Callithrix jacchus: one gene and its partners. Each later gene encodes a partner of the first gene's protein in a complex. Links are inferred from orthologs where the notes say so. Each region holds a gene or a part of one and is shown in the gene's direction. Other genes may lie near its edges. The genes, in order: VTI1B, VAMP7, BNIP1, STX5, STX18 and BET1L.

Region 1 (3,500 bases):
TGATCTTGATTTTGACTGTTTTTTACTAAATGAAGCCAACTGATGGGGATGGGTATTAAGGAGGTTTGACAAACACAAATGGGTAAAACCTGAAGACTCTCCTGAAATATGAGTCTTTGATAATATATTGCTGATGTGAGTAGTAAGGGCATTCTCATACCCTTACCCAAGCAGTCTCTTAAAATCTCTTTTTAAGAGCTGGCCATTAAGATAGGTTACTGGCCAGTGTGGTGGCTCACACCTATAATACCAACACTTTGAGATGCCAGGGCAGGAGGATCACTTGAGGCCAGAAGTTCAAGACCAGCTTGGGCAACATAGGGAGACCCCCATCTCTTCCAAAAAAAAAAAATTACACAGGATTGGTGGTGCATGCCTCTGGACCCAGCTACTCAGGAGGCTGAGGTGGGAGGATCACTTTAGCCTGAAAGGTCATGATCACACCACTGCACTCCAGTGTGGGTGACAGAGCAAGACCCTGCTTCAAAAAAAAGAAAAAAACTGTTCTTTGTTAAACTTACTGACACAGAAAATGTAGCTCAGAGGTGATTCTAACCATGTCCCTTTCTGTCTTAAAAGACAGCATTGTAGCTGGACTTGGTACCTCAGGCAAGACATGCATGAGCTTCAGGTGGGACCTAAAGTTTGTCAGAAGTTGCTTCTCTTCACTTGTGGCTTTTCTTTAAAAAAAAAAGTTTGTTTTTCCTCCAGCTCTATGGAAGCAAGAGTCCTTTGACTCCATTTCATTATACTCTAGCAAACCCATTAAGACTGGGGCCAAAATCCTGGTCCCTGCTAGAACCCTGCAGAAATAGTTGCCCCTGCTTTTGCCATCCCAGAGCAGATGGAGAAAAAAATTCTGTTTTAGCCAGCGAACTGCCTTCTTGCCTGTTGAAGATCAACTTCTCAATTTCCCAGTTATCCCAGTGAAAAAGAAGCACATCTGCATCCTTTTCTCTGTTTTGCATGTGCTTTATGAAGGACCAGGCTACCAGACTGTGGAAACTATCTTCTTCCTAATGGGAGTACTAGGAATTTTTCTTAATACCTGTGTACAGCTGGGCATGTCCATGATACCTGTTTGTAGCCATTCTCCTGTTTTGATTAACATATTGGTAGCCTTTTAAAAATCTAGCTACTACTGATTTGTTTGGTGCTCAGATACTTGTTTTCTTCGAACTCAACAAAATAATCCTACCTTGACCATTCCAGGCAGATGAAAATAATTTAGGGCTGCTTGTGAACATCCCCAGGTGTTACATTTTACTTATCCTAGAAGAATGGAAGTCTGATTCCTCTAAAGCACCTGCTCTGAGGTGGGCCCCTGGTTGTCTCTGACATGGAGACAAACATGATTGATTTTCAGAAAGAGGAGCAGGAAAAGTTTTTAGTACAGTAGACTTCAAAGCACTTCTTGATGGCAGTGTTCAACCGTATATTGAAGAGAGCCAAGAATTTGAAGATTTTGAATCCTGACTCCTTTTTAATTTTATTTTTATAGAGATGAGGTCTTGCTGTGTTGCCCAGGCTATGCTCAAATGATCCTTCTGCCTAGGCCTCCCAAAGGGCTGAGATTAGAAGCAGGAGCCACTATGCCTGGTCCAGACTCCTCCTTTTTGTGTAATCTTTAGCAGGTTTCTGTAAATCATATATGAAATGGAACATTTGCTACCTTATTGATTTGTTATGAGGATTAAATGGAGGATATATAGAAACATGTTTAGTAAGCTCTAAAATACTTTTGTCTCTCCATTCATTCATTCAGTTCATATATTTTGAATGCTTGCTCTGTGCTTGCTGGGCACTGTGCTAGGCATTTGGATTGAGAAGAACATCCCAGAAATGGTCCTGCCTTATGTAGCATATGGTTGAATTATTTACTTGGTGTAGTCCAAATAAATAAGTAGTTTGATTAATCCAAACTAGGCATATTTCCAAATGAGTGAGGGAAGAACCAGGCCATCTACTCACTACTTTCTGCCTTCCCAGCTGGCAGAGATGGAGGAGGAGCTACGTTATGCACCCCTCTCTTTCCGTAACCCCATGATGTCTAAGCTTCGAAACTACCGGAAGGACCTTGCCAAAATCCATCGGGAGGTGAGAAGCACACCTTTGACAGCCACGCCTGGAGGCCGAGGAGATATGAAGTATGGCATATATGCTGTAGAAAATGAGCATATGGTAAGTTTTAGCTTCCTTTTTTTTCCTTAAGGGCCTGTGGTACAAAAATTAACCATATCGTTGGATTATTTCATGTTTTCAGTGTATACTAGAAAATATTTTTTTCACCCTTATCCTCTTTTCTGCATCCAGCTCCTGTTATTCCCTTGGTATATGCTCTATTTAATGTAGCCCTTTCTAATCATATGCATATTTAGATTTCCTTTTATCCTTAATATAATACAGTCTTATAATAAAAATAGTGCTTTGTATATAGTAGTATATAAGTGTTACTTATTTTTTCTGGATTCTGACCCATTGATCTAATTTCTTCTTGATCTTTTTTATTCTTTCATATAAATTTTAGAATCACTTTCTCAAGTATGCCTGGAAAATTCCATTAGGTTTCTAATTTATCAGAGTATTGTTTCAAAATCAATCCAAGCTTTCCTTTACCTTAATGTCAAGATGGCCCAGCAACTGAGATACTGTAGCCAATGCAGGGTGCTTCTCGTGGAGCTTTTTATCATTTTATTCTGTGGTAATGGAAAGTGAGCCAGACTGCTCTCTAGTTTTCAGGATTCTAATTTATAAGATTGGACTAATTGAACATCTGTATTCTGAAACCATCTAAGAAGCTAGTCGTTAAAGAAATTAAACGTCTGAAAGGTTAAATGTGCTGCATTTGGTCTATCTTCCATAAACACAACACAAAGTAAGACTTGCCTGGCAAGTAACACAGAAGAGAGATGGAAAGGGGCCCACCAGTGCAGTCTGAACAGAGGTAGAAAGGCTCATACTACAGTTTTAAACAACTCCTGTTTCATGATGCATCCTGATTATAGTTTAAGAGACATTGAAAATGATATTGGCTTGACATTGCTGATGCAAAACTAGACATTTTGAGGCTGATGTTTTTAAAATTTTCGCACAGATGTACGAGGGATCGTCACAGATTAGAAGCTGACAGATCACTTGAAAAGGGAGGCTGGAAAAGGGCAGGCGGGTGGAGTGTGGTTCTACTGGTTTTATTTGAACCTCATTTAGTGGTTTCCTCATCTACTGGTCTATATGCTATTTATCAAGTGAAAATGCTACAGAGCACCTGACATGGTGGCTCATGCCTGTGCCTGTAATCCCAGCACTTTGGGAGGCTGAGGCTGGCAGATCACCTGAGATCAGGAGTTCGAGACCAGCCTGGCCAACATGGGGAAACTCTGTCTCTACTAAAAATACAAAATTAGCCAGGTGTGTTGGCGGGTGCCTGTAATCCCAGCCACTCGGGAGGCTGAGGCAGAGGCTGCAGTGAGCTGAGATCACGCCACTGCACTCCAGTGAGA
Region 2 (4,050 bases), on another chromosome or scaffold:
TAGGATAGAACCCTATGGAATGTGAACATTTCAAAAGAAAATGAAGAGCTGCCACAGAGGTAAGAGGAGAAGCGGGAGTGTATAGCATCTTGCATAGAGCTAAGAGAATAAAGGAGTTCAAAAAGGAGGAAATAAGGGCCAGGCGCAGTGGTTCATGCGTGTTATCCCAGCACTTTGGGAGGCTGAGGTGGACTGATCATGAGGTCAGAAGTTGGAGACCAGGAGACCAGGAGACCAGCCTGGCCAATATGGTGAAACCCCGTCTGTACTAAAAATATAAAGAATTAGCTGGGCGTGGTGACAGGCGCCTGTATTCCCAGCTACTCGGGAGGCTGACGCAGGAGAATTGCCTGAACCCAGAAGGGTTGCGGTGAGCCGAGATCGCGCCATTGCACTCCAGCCTGGGTAACAAGAGCGAAACTCCGTCTCAAAAATAAAAGAAGAGCTTGACTCTGATTCGGCAACAGGGAATAGGGATGGAAGAGGGATGGGTTTAGATCAAAGGAGAGTAGTAGTTATCATTATTATTGCTAAAGAATGGGAGAAAGGATTGGTGAGGGGTACAAGAAAATAAGAACATTTCATGGCAAAAATAGAGGCACTTCCTGTCAGCTGAATTCTATTTTGTCGGTGAAGAAACAGGCAATGTTGCCTACTGAAACTAAGCAGGAGAGACGGGGCAAGCGTGGCTCTTCATTTATGCCGCCTACTCACTGCTGGTAGAATCTTTTCTTTCTTTCTTTCTTTCTTTTTTAAGACGGAGTTTCTCTCTTGTTACCCAGGCTAGAGTGCAATGGCGCGATCTCGGATCACCGCAACCACCGCCTCTTGGGTTCAGGCAATTCTCCTGCCTCAGCCTTCTGAGTAGCTGGGATTACCGGCACGAGCCACCGTGCCCAGCTAATTTTTTGTATTTTTAGTACAGACGGGGTTTCACCATGTTGACCAGGATGGTCTCGATCTCTTGACCTCGTGATCCACCCGCCTCGGCCTCCCAAAGTGCTGGGATTACAGGTAGAATCTTTAGCCTGCATTCTCTCATTTGCGTGGATCCCTATACGGCGTTTGACGTTGTTTACGGCCAGAGCTGTCCCCGGAACGTGGCCAGTCGGAACTACTACTCCCGGAATGCACTACGGCTCCTGGGAAGTGCGGGGGGGGCGGGGCTGGGAACTTAGCAGGCCTAGCCCTGTTGCCTGCTGCCATTGGAGGAGCGCTCCCATTCCCAAGAGGCCACGCGTAGGCGGGGCGCTTCACGCGGAAGTTAGCGGCGTCGGGTCCCAGCCTCCTCTGGGAGCGGGCAGTTGGCGACCCTGCGCTGACCCGCGCCCCTAGGTCCCGAGCCCGCGCGCCCTCAGAAGGTGCCCGGACAGGTAAATGGAGTGGGGCGCGCTCTGTGGGAGGCGGAAACACAACTGCGGAGGGAGAGGGAAGGTGTCGACGGAAAGGTGCTGGGGTGGAGCGGGTAGGCAGTGTAAGGGTGACTTGGGCTTCTCTGGTGTACACAGTACCGGTTGTCGGGCAGGTCCGGTTTCGGCGAGGTGCGTCTTTTGCCGCTGGAAAGGCCTCGAGTTAAAAAGAGTGTCAGAATGCGTCACTTAAGCTGTCATTACAGGAGGGAAAAAATGTTAATTTTCTCTCAGTTTGCATTCTACAAGACTTTTCTGTACCATTTAAATCGCTTGAGATCGACCGAGTCTTCTAAAAACTCTCTGCGTCCTTATTCGATGACGTCACTTTCCGCTTCACCTACTTCTGGCTGTTTATGCTCCTTCGTGGGTTCCTGGCCCCTTATTCACCCTTCCTCCACTGCTCATTATTGACAGTCCACTTCTTCCTCTGTTTGGCTAGGAACTGTATCTCCGCCTAGACCTGTTTCCTCATCTTCAGACCTGTTTGGTGTTTTTATTAACCGCCAATGTTTATCAAATTCTGACCACGTGCTAGCGTCTTTGGTAAACGCTTTACATCTCCCACTCCCATAACTCTCACAATCAGCTGTCTTCATTCGGCCTCATTTATTGCTTTCAACTACCTGTATCTCCATTCTCCCTCCCTTGATCCCAGAGATACAGCCATGTTAGGGATATTAATTACCTTTGAATACTTGTGGCTGAGAGCAGATCCATTCGTATGTTTAACAAATATTTATTGAGTGGCTGATCTGTGCTTGACACTCTTTTTTTTTTTTTTTTGAGACGGAGTTTCGCTCTTGTTACCCAGGCTGGAGTGCAATGGCGTGATCTCGGCTCACCGCAACCTCCACCTCCTGGGTTCAGGAAATTCTCCTGCCTCAGCCTCCTGAGTAGCTGGGATTACAGGCACACGCCACCATGCCCAGCTAATTTTTTGTATTTTTAGTAGAGACGGGGTTTCACCATGTTGACCAGGATGGTCTCGATCTCTTGACCTCGTGATCCACCCGCCTCGGCCTCCCAAAGTGCTGGGATTTTACAGGCATGAGCCACCACGCCTGGCCGACTCTCTTTTTAAGTGCAGGGGATACAGCTGTAAACAAGACTTAGGTTGCTACACTCAGGAACTTACATGTTTGTGTCTAGAGGGGAAAACAGAAATAGGATTATGTTATATATTGCCTAATGTGAAATAAAACAGGTGGTTGACTTGAAAGGGTGGGATCCTATCCTAAGAAAGTCAGAGAGATTGGATTGGGTCTCAGAGCATCATCCAGAAAGAATAGTTGTAATACTAACAGGAATAATCTTGATCTATAACCTGACTTCATAAACACCTCTCCTTTTCCCCTTTCTAAGCAGTGTTTATTCTTCATTTTTTCTATCTCCTCCAAGCTTATTGCATCCGAATTCTTGGTTTATCTGTAGTTACTTTATTCTTTCTAACTCCCAGATGGAAGAGTTGGGGATTGGATTACTGTTAGCTCAACTGCTTTATCTTACTTCAAAAGGTGATTTGGTTGTGAAAATATTATTCTTACTAGGTCTTTCTGAATATAAAGTTATCTATCATTTATAGTGTATTTAAAACCAAAGTATGCTCAATGTTCACTTACTTATTCAACAAATACTTGAGGGCATGCGCGGTGGCTCAACCCTGTAATCCCAGCACTTTGGGAGGCCGAGGCGGGTGGATCACAAGGTCAAGAGATCGAGACCATCCTGGTCAACATGGTGAAACCCCGTCTCTACTAAAAATACAAAAAATTAGCTGGGTGTAATCCCAGCTACTCGGGAGGCTGAGGCAGGAGAATTGCCTGAACCCAGGAAGCGGAGGTTGCGGTGAGCCGAGATCGCACCATTGCACTCCAGCCTGGATAAGAGCAAAACTCCGTCTCAGAAAAGAAAAAAAATACTTGAGGGAAGGTTAACTGCTAGGCACCGTGCTGAGCACTGGGAAAGTAGGGTAAAATAGACACTTTGGCCTCTCTTCCACGGAGAAATAATCCTAACAGTATAGTGAGGAAATTCCTAAGGCATAAGCTGATACCTACATTCCTGTTATTCACCCAAGGTGAGATCATCACAAAGCATTAAGAAATTTCCTGAGTGGTTGTGGACAGTCTTAGATTATTCACTTATTACACTTTATCACATTTATTTATATCTGTCTTCCTCATTGTACCATGGCTCCCTCAAGTATAGGAGTCCCTTCTTCATCAACTTTATACCTCCAGTGTCTACTTTGACTAGCATATAGCAAGCCCTCAGTACATATGTGTTGAACTGAAATAGAAAAACTCCATATCTGATCAAATTTAAATGACATGATTTATACAAGACCTTCTCTATGTAAGGCCATCAGCTGTATTCCTCAATCTTGTCATTCACCAAAGGTGGACCATTCCATCTCATCAGGCTAGTTTATGTACCTTCTTTACCTTGTTCTCACCTCTATGCCTTCTCTTGTTTCATCCGTTCCTCCTAAAATGATCTCCCATCTCTTCCCGAGCACCTTGTCTACCGCCTTACTTTAGTGGGCCAGTTAATTTAATGGTCTGCTCATGATACAAGAATGGAGGCCGGGCACGGTGGCTCACGCCTGTAATCCCAGCACTTTGGGAGGCCGAGGTGG
Region 3 (3,500 bases), on another chromosome or scaffold:
AGATAATTGGCAACAGAAAAATTCTACAAAAGGAAGACCTACTTAAGGTGGACCAAAATTTAGAAGGTTTTTGAGTGGGATGCTATTAAAAAAAAATGCAACAAAAACCGTAAATTAAACAAATGAGGTCAAAAAATAAAACCAAAATTGAGGTTATAATTGCAGGTGCATGCTAATCCTTGATTATGTAATTACAGCTAGGTGCCATTTCTTGTTATTGGATTGGGAGAGGTTTAACTTTTCCAATGAAATTGTCAGACAACATGAACCAGTACCTTTCTCTTCACATTTGACTTTTGTACAAATCTTAAAGAGGGTTTTTCCAAACATATTTGAGGTATTCAGATCATTCTCTCTCTTTCTTAAAACTTTATTTTTGGTCAGGTGTGGTGGCTCATGCCTGTATTCTCAGCAGTTTGGGAGGCTGAGGTGGGTAGATCAGCTGAGGTCAGGAGTTCGAGACCAGCCTGCCCAACAAGGTAGAATGCCGTCTCTACTAAAAATACAAAAATTAGCTGGGCATGGTGGGTGGGTGGCTGTAATCCCAGCTACTCTGGAGACTGAGACAGGAGAATCGCTTGAACCTGGGAGGCAGAGGCTGCTGCAGTGAGCTGAGATCGCACCATTGCACTCCAGCCTGGTGACAGAGTGAGACTCTGTCTCCAAAAAATAAAAAATAAAAAATTTTAGAAATGAGGTCCCACTCTGTTGCCCAGTCTGGAGTATAGTCATAGCTTAATGCAGCCTCAAACTCCTGGGCTCACGCGATCCACTCACCTCAGCTTCCCAAGTAGTTGGCACGCTCCACTGTGCCTAGCTAGATCATTCTCTTTTGAAGCTCCTGCTAAGTCATCATTCCCATGGATTTTCTCTTTATCTCTTGTTCAGTGTTCTGCCTCTGCCAGATCTGTATTTGTGGCTTTGCTTCTGATTTGAGCAATTTGCCAGCATCATCTTCCCTGAAAGCAGCTGTGTATGTAACAGTCAGCTGCCAGGAAGACACTAACTGGCAAAAACACAAGTACAGGGAGGCCAGTGTAAGCACGGAGGGCTGTATGAGTGACGGGCAGTGATCCAGGGCTTGACTCTTTCGTGATTACTTTATGTTATGATGGCTTTTGCTTTCCTGAGCCACCAAGCCTACTCAGATTATAAACACTGAGTACAGAGGAGCCCTTGTATAAAGTATAGTAAGTTATGACGGACACACTCAGCTTAGCATGGGTTTAAAGCAGGGAACGTTTATCCACGATGTGGCGTTACAGGCCAGAGCAGAGAAAGCAGTCAATTTATACTTTGGGGCCAGGTGCAGTAGCTCACACCTGTAATCCCAGCACTCTGGGGGCCGAGACAGGAGGACTGCTTGAGCCCAGGAGCTTAAGACCAGCCTTGAACAACAAAGCAAGACCCCATCTATTTAAAAAAAAAAAAGAAAAATTAGCTCTGGGAGTGGTAGTGTGTGCCTGCAGTCTCAACTACTTGGGAGGCCAAGGCAGGAGGGCAGTGGGCTTGGTTGAGGCTGCAGTGAGTCGTGATCATGCTACTGCACTCTAGCCTCGGAGACAGAGCGAGACCCTGTCTCAAAAAAAAAAAAAACCTTTGGCAGTTGAAACAGTAGTTGTGCTTGCTTGGGTCATCATGCTTGTCACATCATACAGTGAGTATCTGTTTGCTTGTCTTTTTCTTAAATGAATGTGTGAATGTAAGGCCTTTGAGGAGAGGTATGGCCCCTCAGTCATCTCTGGATCCCATGCTCTGCAAAACTCTGCAGAACTCCCTTGCAAACTGTTTCAAAATGTAATGGATTCTTTCAAAGTGGCAGGTGTGAAATGGTAGAGCGGGTACTCATTAAGACCTTCAGCATAAAGGTGCTATTAGAAAACCACCCTGTCAGTTCATGTACTCTGTGTTTTGATTATTTAGTATTTCCAGGGATTAGCACAATTGGTTTGAGCTACCTATGTAAGAATTCTGAAGTATGAGTTGGATTCTTAGAGGGACTCAGTTAGCTTTTTTATAGTCTATCAACAGCTGTGACATTTCTTTTTTTTTTCTTTGAGATGGAGTCTGACTCTTGTTGCCCTGGCTGGAGTGCAGTGGTGCGATCCTGGCTTACTGCAACCTCCGCCTTCCGGGTTCAAGCGATTCTCCTGCCTTAGACTCCAGAGTAGCTGGGATTATAGGTGCCCACTACCATGCCTGGCTAAGTTTTGTATTTTTAGAAGAGATAGGGTTTTACCATGTTGACCAGCCTGGTCTAGAACTTCTGACTTCAGGTGATCCACCTGCCTTGGCCTCCCAAAGTGCTGGGGTTACAGGTGTACGCCACCACACCCATCTGTCACATTTCTAACCCCAGAAAACTGTTCACCAAATTTCCGTTATCACCTACAAGGGAGTGCAGATGAAGAATGTAGATCAGCCATAGCAATCAGGGTGCTGCTCATCCACCATGTTTGTGTCATTCATGGTTGGTCTGTAGTATGGAAAGAACAACAAACCTTGAAGAAATATTTTGAAAGATTGGCTTTTTGTGATTTTTTTTTTTTTTTATCTTGAGACAAGGTCTTAATCTGTCACCTGGGCTGGAATGTAGTGGTACCATCATGTCTCACTGCAGCCTCCACTTCCCAGACTCAGGTGAACCTTTCTCCTCTGCCTCCTAGGTAGCTGGGACTATAGGCATGTGCCACCACCATGCCTGGCTAGTTTTTGTATTTTTAGTAGAGACGGGGTTTCTCCATGTTGCTCAGGCTTGTCTTGAACTCCTGGGCTCAAGTGATCCACCCACCTCGGCCTGCCAAAGTGCTGTAATTACAGGGATGAGCCACTGTGCTGGGCCATAAGTTTTTATTTCCTACAATATATATGAAGTCAGCAGCTGAAGGGCCAGAAATGGTTGTTCAAGGTACTGGAGATGAGTAAGTCATGGTTTTCAAGGGATGGTATGAACTAATACACAGGCCATAGCAGTACAGCCTTAGAAGCAACTGGAAAGAAGAGGGGCCTGTGTGCCGAGTTGGAGAGTTTGGATGCCTCCCTGAAGTCCAGCCATTGTGGAGCTGTGCACAGGGGAGTGCCATGTTCACAGCCCCTCAGGATGACAGGGGCAGCGGGATAGCTATAGAGCCTCCCTGTGGTGGCCTCCAGGGACAGCTATAGAGCCTCCCTGTGGTGGCCTCCAGGTTGAGGGTTACCAGGACCTGAACAAGAACAGTTGCTGGGGGACCAGGAGGAGGAAATGGCAGGAAGTAGGATGGGCTCTGAAGGCCATGCCTGCCTGGGTGGCCTTTCCCCACACTCCTTTGTTGGTGGGAACTGCTGTGAATTGAACTGACTTATGGCCTGGTGGAGTAGACACACTCACACGTGAACCTTTTCATTCCAGCAATCAGACTTCATGGAGGAAAGCTAATCTTACCTGCAAAATTGCAATCGACAATCTAGAGAAAGCAGAACTTCTTCAGGGAGGAGATCTTTTAAGGCAAAGGTACCTGTTC
Region 4 (4,146 bases), on another chromosome or scaffold:
ATTTCTCTGAGAGGCATTAACAGTTAAAATCCTGAGAGGGTTATTGCCAAGAATATGGATGGGGCTGCTTTCTGGGAGTGGGGAATAAAGGTGGTGGTACCCAGAAGTTTTTTACTTCTTTTTGTGGAGGCGGGGTCTCCTTATGTTACCCAGTCTGGTCGCTAAGTCCTGGGCTCAAACAATCCTGCTTTGGCCTCCGAAAGTGCTGAGATTACAGGCGGGAGCCACTGTGCCCGGCCCCCCTGACTGTGAAGCTTCTTCCCACTCACCAGGATGAGCCCCAAGAACCTCAAGAACCCAACAACGTGCCCCTAGAAGACACAGAGACAGATGAACTTTGGGCATCCTTGGAGGCAGCTGCCAAGCGGAAGCTCTCAGATTTGGAGCAGACCCAAGGAGCTCTCCAAACCAGGCGGAGAAAGAAGAAGCGGCCTGGGTCCACCAGCCCCTGACACCCCTCTGTGCCCAGTTTGTAAATAAACAGCTAAACACCCTCCATGACCCTGAGCCTTTTGTGATGGGAGAAAGGAATGAGGGGTAGCTTGAGGTGGGGGCTCCCTGAGCTGGGGTGACGGGATACCTAATGTCACAAAGCCGGGCCTGGAGCCAGGCAGGCTGGTGTGGGTGGCACGGAGTCTGGGGCCGCGCGGGGCCATGGGCTGCTGCCAAGACAAGGACTTTCAGATGTCTGATGAGCAGGAAGAAGAGTCCGAGGACCTCGGGGAAGGTGAGGCCACAGATAAAAGAAGAGGGCCCAGGGAGCGGGAGAGGGGGCTTCCTGAGGGTAGGGCTGAGCTCAGAGGCCTCATCGTCCCCTCAGGCGCCGAAAATATCCACGTGAACGCCCCAGACCACCGGAATCACAAGTCGAACGAAAGCCTTCTGATCACTGTGCTGTGGCGGCGGCTATCCTTGTTCAGTCGTCGGGGCTCCTCGCGGGCAAGCAAGAGGCAATCAGACGTGGTTCGGAAGAAGGAGACTCCGATCCGAGAAGGCAACCAGGAGGAGCCGGAGAAGGGATGACTCCAGACCCGCTCTTAGTCCACCCGTACCTCCAGAGAATAAAATTTCTGACGTGAACCTGCAAGACCGTTCTGGGGACGGGGCGCGGACACCTCCGGGCGGCTGGCTCTTTAAGGCTCCTCCCCGGAGGCGGGCCCAGCCCCCTGGGCTCCGGCTGTTGTCTTCAGGGGCGGGGTCATGGTGGTATCTTAGCCAATGGGATGGTGGGGTTGCTCTTGCGTTTGGTGAGGGGCGTGTCTCTCGGATAGCCGGGCTCGAAAACGTGTGGGACCGCCCCGTCGTCACCGGGGGTGGGGCTACGTGTGGGTGACGTGGCCGCTTCCAGTCTTTGGTCGGGTTTCGGCGGCTTCGGTTCCCAGGGAGGAGGCGGTGACGGCCGGGGAGATTGGCAGTGGTGGCGGCGGCAGGCGGCAGAGGGGAGGTAAGATTCGCTTTCAGAGGGTGTCTGGACACCGTGTCAGCTCCGGGGTAGTGGTTTTACGGGGGCGACGACTGGCGGGGGGAAGGGAACCAGGGGCGAGCGGGCAAGTCCTGCCGGCCCGGCTCCCGGTGAGCGAATTCCTTGCCGTCCAATTAGGAAAGCCTCTGTTGAGAGAGACGTCGGCCTTAGCTAATGAGTGATTGAAGTCTTCCAGAAGGCGGACCTTGGGCGGGGGGTGGGACTTCCTGTTTCAAATAAACACCCAGAGGTTTGCCCCTCCGCCCACCGAAGTGTGTCCCTCTCTGGAGGTCCGTCACCCGCTCTCCCTGGCCGAAGGAAACCGCAGATACAAAAGGGCTGGGTAGGGGCAGTTACACAGGCCAGGCCAGAGTCTCAGGACCACAGGACTTGGCTCGGGCCCTCTCCCTGCTTCAGGGTCCTCGGCCCGCGTTTTGGCCGTCAGAGCCAAGTTGAAAGAAGAGTCTGAAGAGGGTTCGACTTGGGCCAGGGGAAAATCGGGGCCCTTTCCGCTGCGGGCCTGCTCCAGGATCTGCGAGCGCCTTGGGCGCGAAAGTCTTTAAAAAGTGCAGAAGGGGCTCGAGGATTTGTTGATTGGGACGGGGCTGGGGAGTTTGGGTAAAGAAGCTGCCTGGGGAAATGACACTCTCCCCTCCACAACAGTCCGAGGTTATGCGTCTCAATGATCCCGCGGAAACGCTACGGGTCTAAGAACACGGATCAGGGTGTCTACCTGGGTCTCTCAAAGACACAGGTCCTGTCCCCTGCAACTGCTGGCAGTAGCAGCAACGACATCGCCCCTCTGCCCCCCCCAGTGGCCCTCGTCCCTCCCCCTCCCGACACCATGTCCTGCCGGGATCGGACCCAGGAGTTTCTGTCTGCCTGCAAGTCGCTGCAGAGCCGTCAGGTAAGGACCTGCAGTGGAAAAGGTGAGGAGTGACTCTTACTCAAATCTAGGAAGGACTGTGCTCCAGCACTGTTAACTGAAGTAATTCTTGGGGAAACCTGATGGAACTGATAGGCTTGGATGGGGCTAGTAAGGTCTGCTATAAGTAACAGAGAAGAGGTCGGCTGGCTAATTAGAGGCAAGGACTTAGACATTTTTTAATGAGGAATCCCCTGGAGTGCAGGATTGCTATTCTGGAGAGAGTACTTCAGGGCCAGACTTGGCTGCAATATAATTGGTGTGAATAAGGAACAAGTTGTAGGAAGAGCCTTTAGCTGAGAGACATCCACCTTGAATTTTCCAGTATACTTCTGCCATAAGTTTGCTCTGTGACCATGAGAAAATTAGTTAATCTAGTTATGTCTTTCTTAGTTTTTAATCTCTGTAAGACGAAGGACATTTTTCTATATCAGTAATTTGTTGTTTTGTTTCTGTTTTGTTTTGAGATCTAATTTCAGCTCTATCAACAGGCTGGAGTGTAGTGGTGTGATCATAGCTCACTGCAGATTTGAACTCCTGTACTCAAAGGATCCTCTTACCTCTCGGCCTCCTGAGCAGCTGGGGCTACATGGATGTACCACACAGCTAATTTTTTTATTTTTTTGATATAGCCAGTGTCTCACGATGTTGCCCAGGTTGGTCTGGGCACCACACCTGGCCTAGATCAGTAATTTGTATCAAAATCAATGGGTTGGTTACGGTGGCTCATACCTGTAATTCCAGCACTTTGGGAGGCCTAGGCTAGGCCAGAGGATTGCTTGAGGCTAGGAGTTAGAGACCAGCCTGGGCAATATAGCAAGACCCTGTCTCTACAAAAAGTTAAAAATTAGCTAGGTGTGGTGGTGTATCCTGTAGTCCCAGCTACTTGGGAGGCTGAGCGGGAGGATCGCTTGAGGCAAGGATGTCACGGCCACAGTGAGCTATGATCATATATTCCAGCCTGGGAGACAGAGTGAGACCCTGTCTCAAAAACAGAACAGTTAAAAAAAAGTTTTTTTTTAACTATTCATCTGTTGGTAAAGCTGCTCTTCTATGTGATCTCCAAGGGCTTTGCAGTCATCCTCACTGACTTCCCGATTTGAGGAATAGAATGGCAATACAAGCTACCATTTATTTAGTGCTTACAATGTACCAGGTAGTTGATGAAAGTACTTTTCAGCTTTTTTGTTATTTAATCTTAGCAACAAGAAGCGGAGAGGTGTGGATTGTCTTCATTTTACAGAAGGGGAAATAAGAGATTCAGAATGTTTTAAGTAACTCGTTCCCAAAACCCCTAGCTAGTAAGTAGCGAGTCAAGATTTGAACTCCGGTTTACTTGTCTTCAAATCTGGAGTCTAAACCACTACCACTGATAAATCTAGATCATTGGATGGATGCCACCAGTACTAGAGATAGTTTAGTGGACACCTGAGGAAGAGTGAAAACTGGAACTGGGGAAGGGGGATCTAAAGTTGTCACCTCCTGCCATTGCTTTTCAGAATGGAATCCAGACAAATAAGCCAGCTTTGCGTGCTGTCCGACAGCGCAGTGAATTCACCCTCATGGCCAAGTGAGTTGAGAGAAGCTTTCTGGTGGGGTGATACAATGTCTGAAGAAAAGTAGGCTTGCCTTCAGTGGCCTTGGCTGTGAAGTCTGGGATTGGTTGTGCTGGAGCTTATATGGGAAAAGGCCTTCTCCTGCCCTTTCCCAGTCTCACTAGTGGTCGTTTGCAGGCGCATTGGGAAAGACCTTAGCAACA
Region 5 (4,086 bases), on another chromosome or scaffold:
TGTTCTGCATTCATTCCGTTGCAATATCACACACAGTCTCTAACAAACTCAAGTGTATACAACTCATGAGGAAGTGAGAGTGAAAAGGCAAGTAACGTCTTAGTATTATGAAAAGAGTTTTATATTGGTGACCATTTAAACCACTGCATTAACACATATTCTACTTGTGCATTCTCTTTATGAAAAAAAATCTTGAGATTTTGTTTTAACACTGAACCATAGGCCAGGCAAGGTGGCACATGCCCAAAGTCCCCGTCACTCAGGAGGCGGAGCGGGGGAGGATCATTTGAGCCCTGGGGTTCCAGTGAGTAGTGAGCTAGGATGGCGTCTTTGAACAGCCACTGTAATCTCACTGGGCAACATAGTGAGACCCCCATCTTAAACACACACACACACACCCCAGAACCATGAACCAAAAAATGCAGAAGAAACTCATTGACTGACTTGTCATTGTTTATGACTCAAGATTTGAAAACTATGCATGAAGGATGAACAGAATCCAGCGGCATTAGGGTCACCCTTTCACCTCTGTCTCCATCTAAAGTTCCTATTCATCCTTCAAATCTCTGCACAGGTGACGCCTTCTCTCTAGAGCCTCTTTCTCACCACAAATAAGATTATAATAATATTTATTAATTATAATATTTATTAATAACATTTATTAATATGTTTTTATTATTATAATAACAACATATTAACGATAACTACCATTTATTGGCCACTTACTGGGAGCCAAGAAACACCAAAACAGCACGCGTCGGGTCATTTAATTTTCACAGTAAACTCCGAGGAGGATGCTGGCTTCCCTTTACAGAAGAGGTGGCGGAAGGCTGGAGAACAAAGGCCTCTGGCTCTGTGCCCTGCACACCTGCTCTGTCCCAGCACTTATTGCACCCCGAGGGTCACCGTCCACGTGCCTCTGACATGCTCAGGGTGAGTCCTTGCAGTCAAAGGTCAAGGGGGTCTCGCCTTCGCGTCCCCCGCAACCAAATCGTCCGGGCTCAGTGAGGGAGCCACCAGAAGGGAAGGAACTTCCCAGCTTTCCGGTCTTTATGCTCCCGGAGCCCACAAGCCCCAGACAGACATAGGAGAGCTCTCCGTGCTGCTAAACCCTCCAAGCTTTGCCTGGAGAAGGGACTACCCGTGAGCACGTTGCCGGGTCCCTCCTCCTCTAGGCGCGCCAGCTTAGGCCGGAACCTTTTTCCTCCCGCCGCGGTAGCCGGGCGCAGGCCGGAACCTTTCTTCTCGCGCCACCGTTGCCGGGGGGAGGCGTGCGGGGTAGGACCAGTCCTCTAGCTGGCGGATTAGCGCCGCGGTCGCTGGCTGCTGACGTGGGCGGGTCCCGTTTGGGGCTGCGGGTGCGGGTCGCTATGGCGGTGGATATCACGCTGCTATTCCGGGCCAGCGTCAAGACCGTGAAGACGCGGAACAAGGCGCTGGGAGTGGCGGTGGGCGGCGGGGTCGATGGCAGCCGGGATGAGCTGTTCCGCCGGAGCCCCAGGCCCAAGGGCGACTTCTCCAGCCGGGCCCGCGAAGTGGTAAGCTGGTTGCTATGGAAACGGCGGCTTGAGGAGGGGACAGACCTGCGACAGGGACCCCAGGCCCCAAACCAGACCTCGTCCCTTAAGCATTGTGTAAAGAGTGTGGCCCCAAGGAGGACAGTACAGTTGGCCTCAGCCGACAGCTTCTGGGGGAAGGAGCAGCCTTATTTTGAGGAAGGGGGACGCATTATTGGGGAACGGATTTCTCCTTCGGCGGCGGGGTTTAGGGGGCGAAGAAGAAGACGCTCAGAAATCTCTATCTGGAAAGTGCATGGGCGGCTTTGTGAGGTCATGAGATCGCTGTCATTACAGACTTGCACTCGGGAAGTTTCCTCACAGTCCTTCGCTTCCTGTCGAAGCACTGACCACACTGTATTTGCCTGTTCTGTTTGCTTGCCTGCCTCCCACCCCCAGTTGAGATTAAAACCGTATTAAACCGAACTCTTTCTTTACTTTGTCTTCGCAATAAGTAGGACTCAGTTCCGCTTGAGACAGGTTTAGGATAATCTTTCACAGTGTTAAGTCATCTCAACTACTTTCTGTTTCCTGGACAGAGCAGGTGTTCCTTCATCTCCCTGGGACTAGGAACCTTTTCGTTAAGGGAAGGGACAGTGTTGTTTTCATCTCAGAATGCATGACTTATACAGCATTGCTTAGTAAATGTCTGTTGAATGAATGAATGAATAAATGGCTGTCTTTACCACGAGGCAGAAAACTGCACAACGGGAGAGATGTTTGTCTTGTTCCCTATTGTATATGTGACACCAAGTGGGGATCTAGTTTTTGTGGGGCCTAAAGCTTATATAATTCTGTCTCCTCTTTTTAAGAAGAAAACCGCCAAGAAAGGTTGAGAGCTTTGGAAGTTTGAAGTGAGGGACCCTGAAGCTTAAGCTTCATTAATTTCACGCTAAATCTACCTCTGCTTGGCATGCACTTGGCACTGTATAGACATTCAGATATTTTTGAATGAATGTATGCATGCGTGCATTAATGACAGTTAGCTGAAGATACTTAAACCTCAGAAAGGGGATTGGACCAGATGAATACACTTACCCCATTGATGAACATCTATGAAGCACTTACCTTTTGACCAGCCTCATGTTAGAGTAACATGATGTAAAAGGAGTGGTTGAGGATACGGACATAGAAATAAAACAAGTACTGTAAAGCCCTGTAAGTGTTGTGTAGGGCACAAAGAAGAATGTGGTCAGTTCTACCTGAGGATCAGAAAAGGCTTTATAGAGGTGATGATGCTTCAAACAAGTCTTGAAAGAGGATTAGTTGGTTTCAGTACAGACAAGGTGGGGAAGGGCATCTCAGGCTAAGAGCATAGTGTGCGCTAAGGTCTGGAGGTAGGTAATTGTCTGACATAAGTTGGTTCATAAACATTTGAGTGGGACTGGAATGTGGGACTTCTCATAAAAATTGGAATAGAGTGGCAGCAGGGGGAGATCTTGAAGGGCTTTGTATATCACTGCAGAGTTTGAATTTGGCCTTGTAGGTGGGCAGATGTTATATGATAGAGAAAGCACCAAAGATGGAGCGAGCCAAGAGACCAGGTTGTTGTCTGACGGTGCAACTATTAGCTACATGATTTCATTAAGCAAGTTTTAAGACCTTATTTTATTTACCTGTGAATGATCCTTTTTTTTCCTCCTCCTCCTTTTAAAAAACTACCTTGATCCTCTCTATATAACACATCAAAGTGAGAGCTACCTAGGTTGAAATGAGAGGAAGAGAAACAGGACATTCTCCCTCCCTATACTCCCAGTTTGTCCCAAGCACTTCCTGGGGTTCCTTTTGTAGAACTGTGGTATAATATTGTCTTTTGAAGGGCCCCTTCTAACTCTGAAACCACTGATTTATTAGCACTGTGCTAATTTTGAGTCCTGCTCAAGGAAAGGGGGGATTTGGGAATTGGAGAGGCAAGAGGCAACAGTTGGGTTGGCAAGCCCTTTGGAGAGTCCTGTAACCACTTCCACCTCTCCCTGAGTGGTGAAAATGTGTTTTAGGCATTTGAGTTTATGGGCCTCAGAGATAGTAACAGCAACAGTCCCTTAAGGTGCTGAGTTCCCTGTCTTTGGAAGTCATTAAACAGAGTGATGACTGCTTTTTAGAGATGTTTGAGAAGAACTTTGTCCATGTGTCACAGGGTTGGACCACATGGCAGTGAAACTTCCAATTCTGCTATGTATTGATGTGGGTACGTGTCACATCACCTCAAGTGAGTATATGGGCTGTGTTGTTCAGGGACACAGTCCCCCTGACCTAGAGGAAACATATATTCTTTTAAGCAGTTTTGATTTTCTGTTGTCATTGCTTTGTGTGTTATCTTCTATACTTGCAACTGTTTCCCACTCCGCATCTTTTCTTGTGGAAAGTTTAACTAGAAGAACTAGTGATGGATGTCCTGTGCTTTCACTACAGTTAGATGTGTCAAAAGTTTGGTGTTATTTTGTTTGGCCTGGATTCCTTATACAGAAAAGTCTGGTGCACATATCCTGATTCAGATTTAGCCCTGATTGTCAGACCTAAGGAAATGTAG
Region 6 (4,286 bases), on another chromosome or scaffold:
GCCCCCCCCCCCCGGCCTCCGGATACAGCCCCTGCCTCGCTCTCCTACCCGTCCCTGCCACGCGTGCCCCCCCCCCCGGCCTCCGGATACAGCCCCTGCCTCGCTCTCCCACCCGTCCCTGCCACGCGTGCCCGACCCCGGCCTCCGGATACAGCCCCTGCCTCGCTCTCCTACCCGTCCCTGCCACGCGTGCCCCCCCCCCCCGGCCTCCGGATACAGCCCCTGCCTCGCTCTCCTACCCGTCCCTGCCACGCGTGCCCCCCCCCCCGGCCTCCGGATACAGCCCCTGCCTCGCTCTCCCACCCGTCCCTGCCACGCGTGCCCGACCCCGGCCTCCGGATACAGCCCCTGCCTCGCTCTCCTACCCGTCCCTGCCACGCGTGCCCGACTCCGGCCTCCGGCGGCGGCTCACCTCCTGGTTGTACGACCGCAGAGCTTCCATAATCACATCCTCCTTCCCCGTCTCCACGGCTGCTGCAACCGCCCGGGGCTCCATGGCGCCCCCGGGACCCGCCCCAGCCGTTCCGGGCCGCAATTCGCCGGCCCCGCCCTGGCCCAGAGAGCTCCGCGCCAGCGCGCATGGGAGGCCGGGACGGGGTGCGGCGTCGGGCGGCGCCTTCAGGGGGCGCGGCCTGGAGCCGAAGCGGCGGTTCGAAGGTTTCCAGACCCGAGTCGCCCTCGACCGAACTGACCCCTCTCCTTGTGACCCGCGCTTCTTGGGCAGGAATTTCCAACGGGAAAGGATCTCAGCCCCCACCTCGCCCTGCCACACACACAGCGCCGCCCCTGGATCTCCACAGAACGGATGGGGTGTGGAGGGGGAGCCGAAGTGGGGGACTTTTCAGTCCTGGGCCATCGGGTTCGTTAGGCGTTTGCTGGGGAACGCAGGCGAACGGGACTCCTAGGTCCATGCTTTCGCGGAGCTTTTGTTCCCGAGGGGAAGGCACACAAGCAAACACCAAAGGACACGAGGCTGTGCTTCAAAACGGGCAGCGAGGAAACGCTGCTTTTGCTGACACCGGACGACAGGAAGTGGCCGGGAACAGGGCTCCTGCTCGGGGGGGCCTGCTCCCTCCTCATGACGCGCCTGTGAATCCTTCCCCGCCGTTAGGACCTAACCCACGGAAGCGTCTATCCCACACCGTAGTCCTGGCACCGAGCCAACAGCCCCGCCCCGCCCTACGCTCACAGGAACAACAAACGTCACATCCGCGGTGGCGCACACCAGTAATCCCAGCACCTTGGGAGGCCGAGGCGGGAGGGCTGCTTGGCCCGGCAGGCGGAGGGTGCAGTGAGCCGAGATCGCGTCACTGCACGCCAGCCTGGGACGGTGCGGAAAATGAAAGGCACATCCGTGCCGCGCTCCTGCGACCGGCGGTTCCCAACTCGTAGCCCTCAGCCGGAAGTCAGCGAGTTCAAGGCGGAAGGGGCAGGGGCATATAGGGGCGTGGTCGCTGCGGAGGCGGGGCCGGAAGTCCTGCCCCTTGACTGCGCCACGTCCGAGGCGGCGGTTGCCGCGTCGGTGTCGGCGTTGAAGAGCCGGGGAAGGCACCATGGCGGACTGGGCTAGGGGTGAGCGCCAGAGAGCGGAGTCGTTGGGGGCGGGGCCGGGCCCGGCCGGAGCCGACGCTGTTACCTGCAGAGCCGCGTACGCCTGCCTCTAAACTGTCCTCGGCGGAGAGGACCCTGTCACGGGGGCAGATTCGGATCCTTCCGGGTCCGAGGGGGCGGCCTAGCCGCTCCAGCGAGGGGTCGCGCAGCTGCGGGGTCCCCCAACTCTCCGCCATTCCCTGTGAGATCGTTCTGCGTGGGTTCGGGGTGCGGGAGCCTCCGCATTCGGCAGGTCCCGGGGCCAGGCCCTAGGAGTACAGGCCACGCGTGCACCGTTGGTGTCCAAGCAGGCGTCTGCTAACTTGGGCCTCGATGGCCCCAGTCCCCCTCCCGGAGCCCGTGTTCTTGTCTGCAAAGTGGGATATTGATGTTTGCCTGTCTGTGTTGCACCCGTTGCTTACATTGAAGCTAGGCAGCAGGTGGTTCTCACCTACCTGATGTGACAGAAATTCCTTATCACCTGGCCCAGCCTATCACATCACAGGCCAGGCCGCTGCAAGCACTATGCTCTGGGTGTTGCGGGAAGCCCTCTGTGGGATGCAGACCAAGGATCCCTCTCTTGGTCGACCTCAGCTCCCATGGTGGGGAATTGGGAGCTTGGCTCAGACCTTTTTTTGTGCGGTAAAGCGCCTTCTCAACATTCTGTCCTGGTTCCTTGCCACCTCTTCAGGAGCCAGCTCTGAAGTCGCCCCTGTAGGAGCCTTCCTACTGCTCTGCTGGGTACTTTCCCCAAGCCTTTCCTACACTTTTACACAGATGGGACCTCCATGGATGCAAGTGTCACATCTTACCAGCATCCCAGGGCTGGGTGCAGTTTCTGCTACACAGTGTGGGAAACTGCTGGTTGCACCGAGCCTGTTGTGGGTGCTTGCCCATCCCCACCTGGATGTGTACACAGGGCGTGTGTTCACATGACATGCGCTTACTTACACACATCGTTCTTTATGCAGCCTGCCTCACATGTGCAAGATCCACCTGCTGGAACCTGGTTAGGGCCTTGTGTCTGCCACCTGCCCAGCAGACACAGGGCCCAGTCCCCCTGGATTTCCAACTCACCCAGATGTGGTTGGAGCGACGGGTCAGGGGCCGTGCTCACCGGTGGATGCAACCCCTCAGCCTCTCTCTCTTCTCAGGTCAGAGTCCTGGTGCTGTGGAAGAGATACTAGACCGGGAGAACAAGCGAATGACCGACAGCCTGGCCTCCAAAGTCACCAGGCTCAAATCGGTCAGTGGTGGTCTCCTGTCCTCTTACCTCTACCATGTGCCCTTGGGGGGTGGGGGTCAGAGGAAAGGCAGACGGCCCAGAGGAGTTTCAGGCAGTTTTCTATCCTCATGTGCTTTGTGGCTGTGCTCACCTGCATGAGGCCCCACCTGGACCTCTCTGCTGCTGCAGCACTCTGGCAGAGTTGTTGGCAGGGCTTGTCTGGTCTGGGGAGGGTGAGTGCTGCATTATGTGTCTGCTCTGGCCCAACCCTGCCCTCTCTGTGCTGAACAGCTTGCCCTGGACATCGACAGGGACGCAGAGGATCAGAACCGGTACCTGGATGGCATGGTAAGGGCCTGCCCCAACACTACCTGCTGTAGAGCCTGCAGTGTCTCCTTCAGCACTGGTGCGGGTGGGTGGTGAAATCACCACTTCTGTGTGATCTTGCTGGGATTCCCCCTTTAGGACTCGGATTTCACAAGCATGACCGGCCTGCTTACAGGGAGTGTGAAGCGCTTTTCCGCAATGGCAAGGTCTGGACGGGACAACCGGAAGCTTCTGTGTGGCATGGCCATGGGTCTGATTGTGGTCTTCTTCATCCTCTCCTACTTCTTGTCGAGGGCAAGGACGTGAACCAGTGGGAGCTGGTGTCTCTGGGTGCCTGGCGTCTTGGGCTCCAGAGAACTTACCTACAAAATACTCCTTTGAAATTACAATTGTGGGTTTGGAATCTTCTTCCTGTGGGGCAGGAGGCTGTGGCAGCCTGTGACCTGATGAGCTCATGTTGGCTGTGGAAGGGACTCTCTTTTGGGGAAACCAAGGGCCAGCCCCTCCCTCCTCCCCCAGGTGCTAGAGACACCAGCAGAGTTGGGGCCACAGCATGTCTGGAGGAGCCAGGTCCAAGCGCAGCAGCTGTTGAATCCCAGACGTAGCCACTTGAGGCCTGCAGCCTTTCTCCCAGCTCTTGGGACGCTGACATCTTAAGGCCCTATGGCTGTGTCCTTGTCTGGGTGAGGCCATGTCTGTGATCCAAGGTGCCTGGAGCTGACACAGGAAGGGACTGTGAACCCTGAGTGAGTGCCATCTCCTCCGACTGAGGCCTCTCAGCCTGGAGATGACGGTTCCTTCTGGCCACGGTTGCTAGGCATGGGCAGACCAGCGTGGGCTACTCTGCTGTGAGTTTTCTCTGCCTGCTCTCCAGTCCTGCGGATGAAGTGAGACCCTTGGGGAGAACTGGGGTGTGGATGGAGTGAACTGCAGCCTTGGCCTAGTGGCTGCGCCTGGATCCTTCTGGGTCATGTGACTGTATCCAGGAGCAGAAACTTGCGTTCTCAGGAGTCAGGATCAGCCCAGCACCAAAGACGTGTTTTCGGGAGAGCAGACCTAGAAGTGGGCCTGTTTGGCATTTCAGAGTCAGGCAAACCTGTGGATCTACACAGGAAGGTTCCTGTGAGGACTCCAGTTGCCGCCT

The links.
Region 2: VTI1B (region 1) and VAMP7 share a complex: the UniProt entries of both Homo sapiens proteins name them as parts of the SNARE complex. The link is inferred for Callithrix jacchus from reciprocal best matches to the Homo sapiens genes VTI1B and VAMP7.
Region 3: VTI1B (region 1) and BNIP1 share a complex: the UniProt entries of both Homo sapiens proteins name them as parts of the SNARE complex. The link is inferred for Callithrix jacchus from reciprocal best matches to the Homo sapiens genes VTI1B and BNIP1.
Region 4: VTI1B (region 1) and STX5 share a complex: the UniProt entries of both Homo sapiens proteins name them as parts of the SNARE complex. The link is inferred for Callithrix jacchus from reciprocal best matches to the Homo sapiens genes VTI1B and STX5.
Region 5: VTI1B (region 1) and STX18 share a complex: the UniProt entries of both Homo sapiens proteins name them as parts of the SNARE complex. The link is inferred for Callithrix jacchus from reciprocal best matches to the Homo sapiens genes VTI1B and STX18.
Region 6: VTI1B (region 1) and BET1L share a complex: the UniProt entries of both Homo sapiens proteins name them as parts of the SNARE complex. The link is inferred for Callithrix jacchus from reciprocal best matches to the Homo sapiens genes VTI1B and BET1L.

Annotation. Positions count from the first base shown.
Region 1 is NC_133509.1:102,657,367-102,660,866, reverse strand, and holds part of VTI1B (vesicle transport through interaction with t-SNAREs homolog 1B), read left to right. Parts: intron 1-1,989; coding exon 1,990-2,181; intron 2,182-3,500. UniProt on the Homo sapiens protein: V-SNARE that mediates vesicle transport pathways through interactions with t-SNAREs on the target membrane. These interactions are proposed to mediate aspects of the specificity of vesicle trafficking and to promote fusion of the lipid bilayers.
Region 2 is NC_133524.1:151,451,252-151,455,301, forward strand, and holds the start of VAMP7 (vesicle-associated membrane protein 7), read left to right. Parts: upstream 1-1,250; 5' UTR 1,251-1,373; intron 1,374-4,050. UniProt on the Homo sapiens protein: Involved in the targeting and/or fusion of transport vesicles to their target membrane during transport of proteins from the early endosome to the lysosome. Required for heterotypic fusion of late endosomes with lysosomes and homotypic lysosomal fusion.
Region 3 is NC_133503.1:65,516,282-65,519,781, forward strand, and holds part of BNIP1 (vesicle transport protein SEC20), read left to right. Parts: intron 1-3,388; coding exon 3,389-3,490; intron 3,491-3,500. UniProt on the Homo sapiens protein: As part of a SNARE complex may be involved in endoplasmic reticulum membranes fusion and be required for the maintenance of endoplasmic reticulum organization. Also plays a role in apoptosis.
Region 4 is NC_133511.1:120,112,070-120,116,215, reverse strand, and holds the start of STX5 (syntaxin-5), read left to right. Parts: upstream 1-1,346; 5' UTR 1,347-1,444; intron 1,445-2,125; 5' UTR 2,126-2,144; coding exon 2,145-2,369; intron 2,370-3,886; coding exon 3,887-3,957; intron 3,958-4,120; coding exon 4,121-4,146. Other genes in the region: WDR74 (WD repeat-containing protein 74), read left to right, coding at 273-452; TEX54 (testis-expressed protein 54), read left to right, coding at 655-1,023. UniProt on the Homo sapiens protein: Mediates endoplasmic reticulum to Golgi transport.
Region 5 is NC_133504.1:184,727,321-184,731,406, reverse strand, and holds the start of STX18 (syntaxin-18), read left to right. Parts: upstream 1-1,286; 5' UTR 1,287-1,370; coding exon 1,371-1,538; intron 1,539-4,086. UniProt on the Homo sapiens protein: Syntaxin that may be involved in targeting and fusion of Golgi-derived retrograde transport vesicles with the ER.
Region 6 is NC_133511.1:131,725,833-131,730,118, forward strand, and holds the start of BET1L (BET1-like protein), read left to right. Parts: upstream 1-1,486; 5' UTR 1,487-1,553; coding exon 1,554-1,572; intron 1,573-2,744; coding exon 2,745-2,836; intron 2,837-3,106; coding exon 3,107-3,163; intron 3,164-3,280; coding exon 3,281-3,448; 3' UTR 3,449-4,286. Other genes in the region: RIC8A (chaperone Ric-8A), read right to left, coding at 413-496. UniProt on the Homo sapiens protein: Vesicle SNARE required for targeting and fusion of retrograde transport vesicles with the Golgi complex. Required for the integrity of the Golgi complex.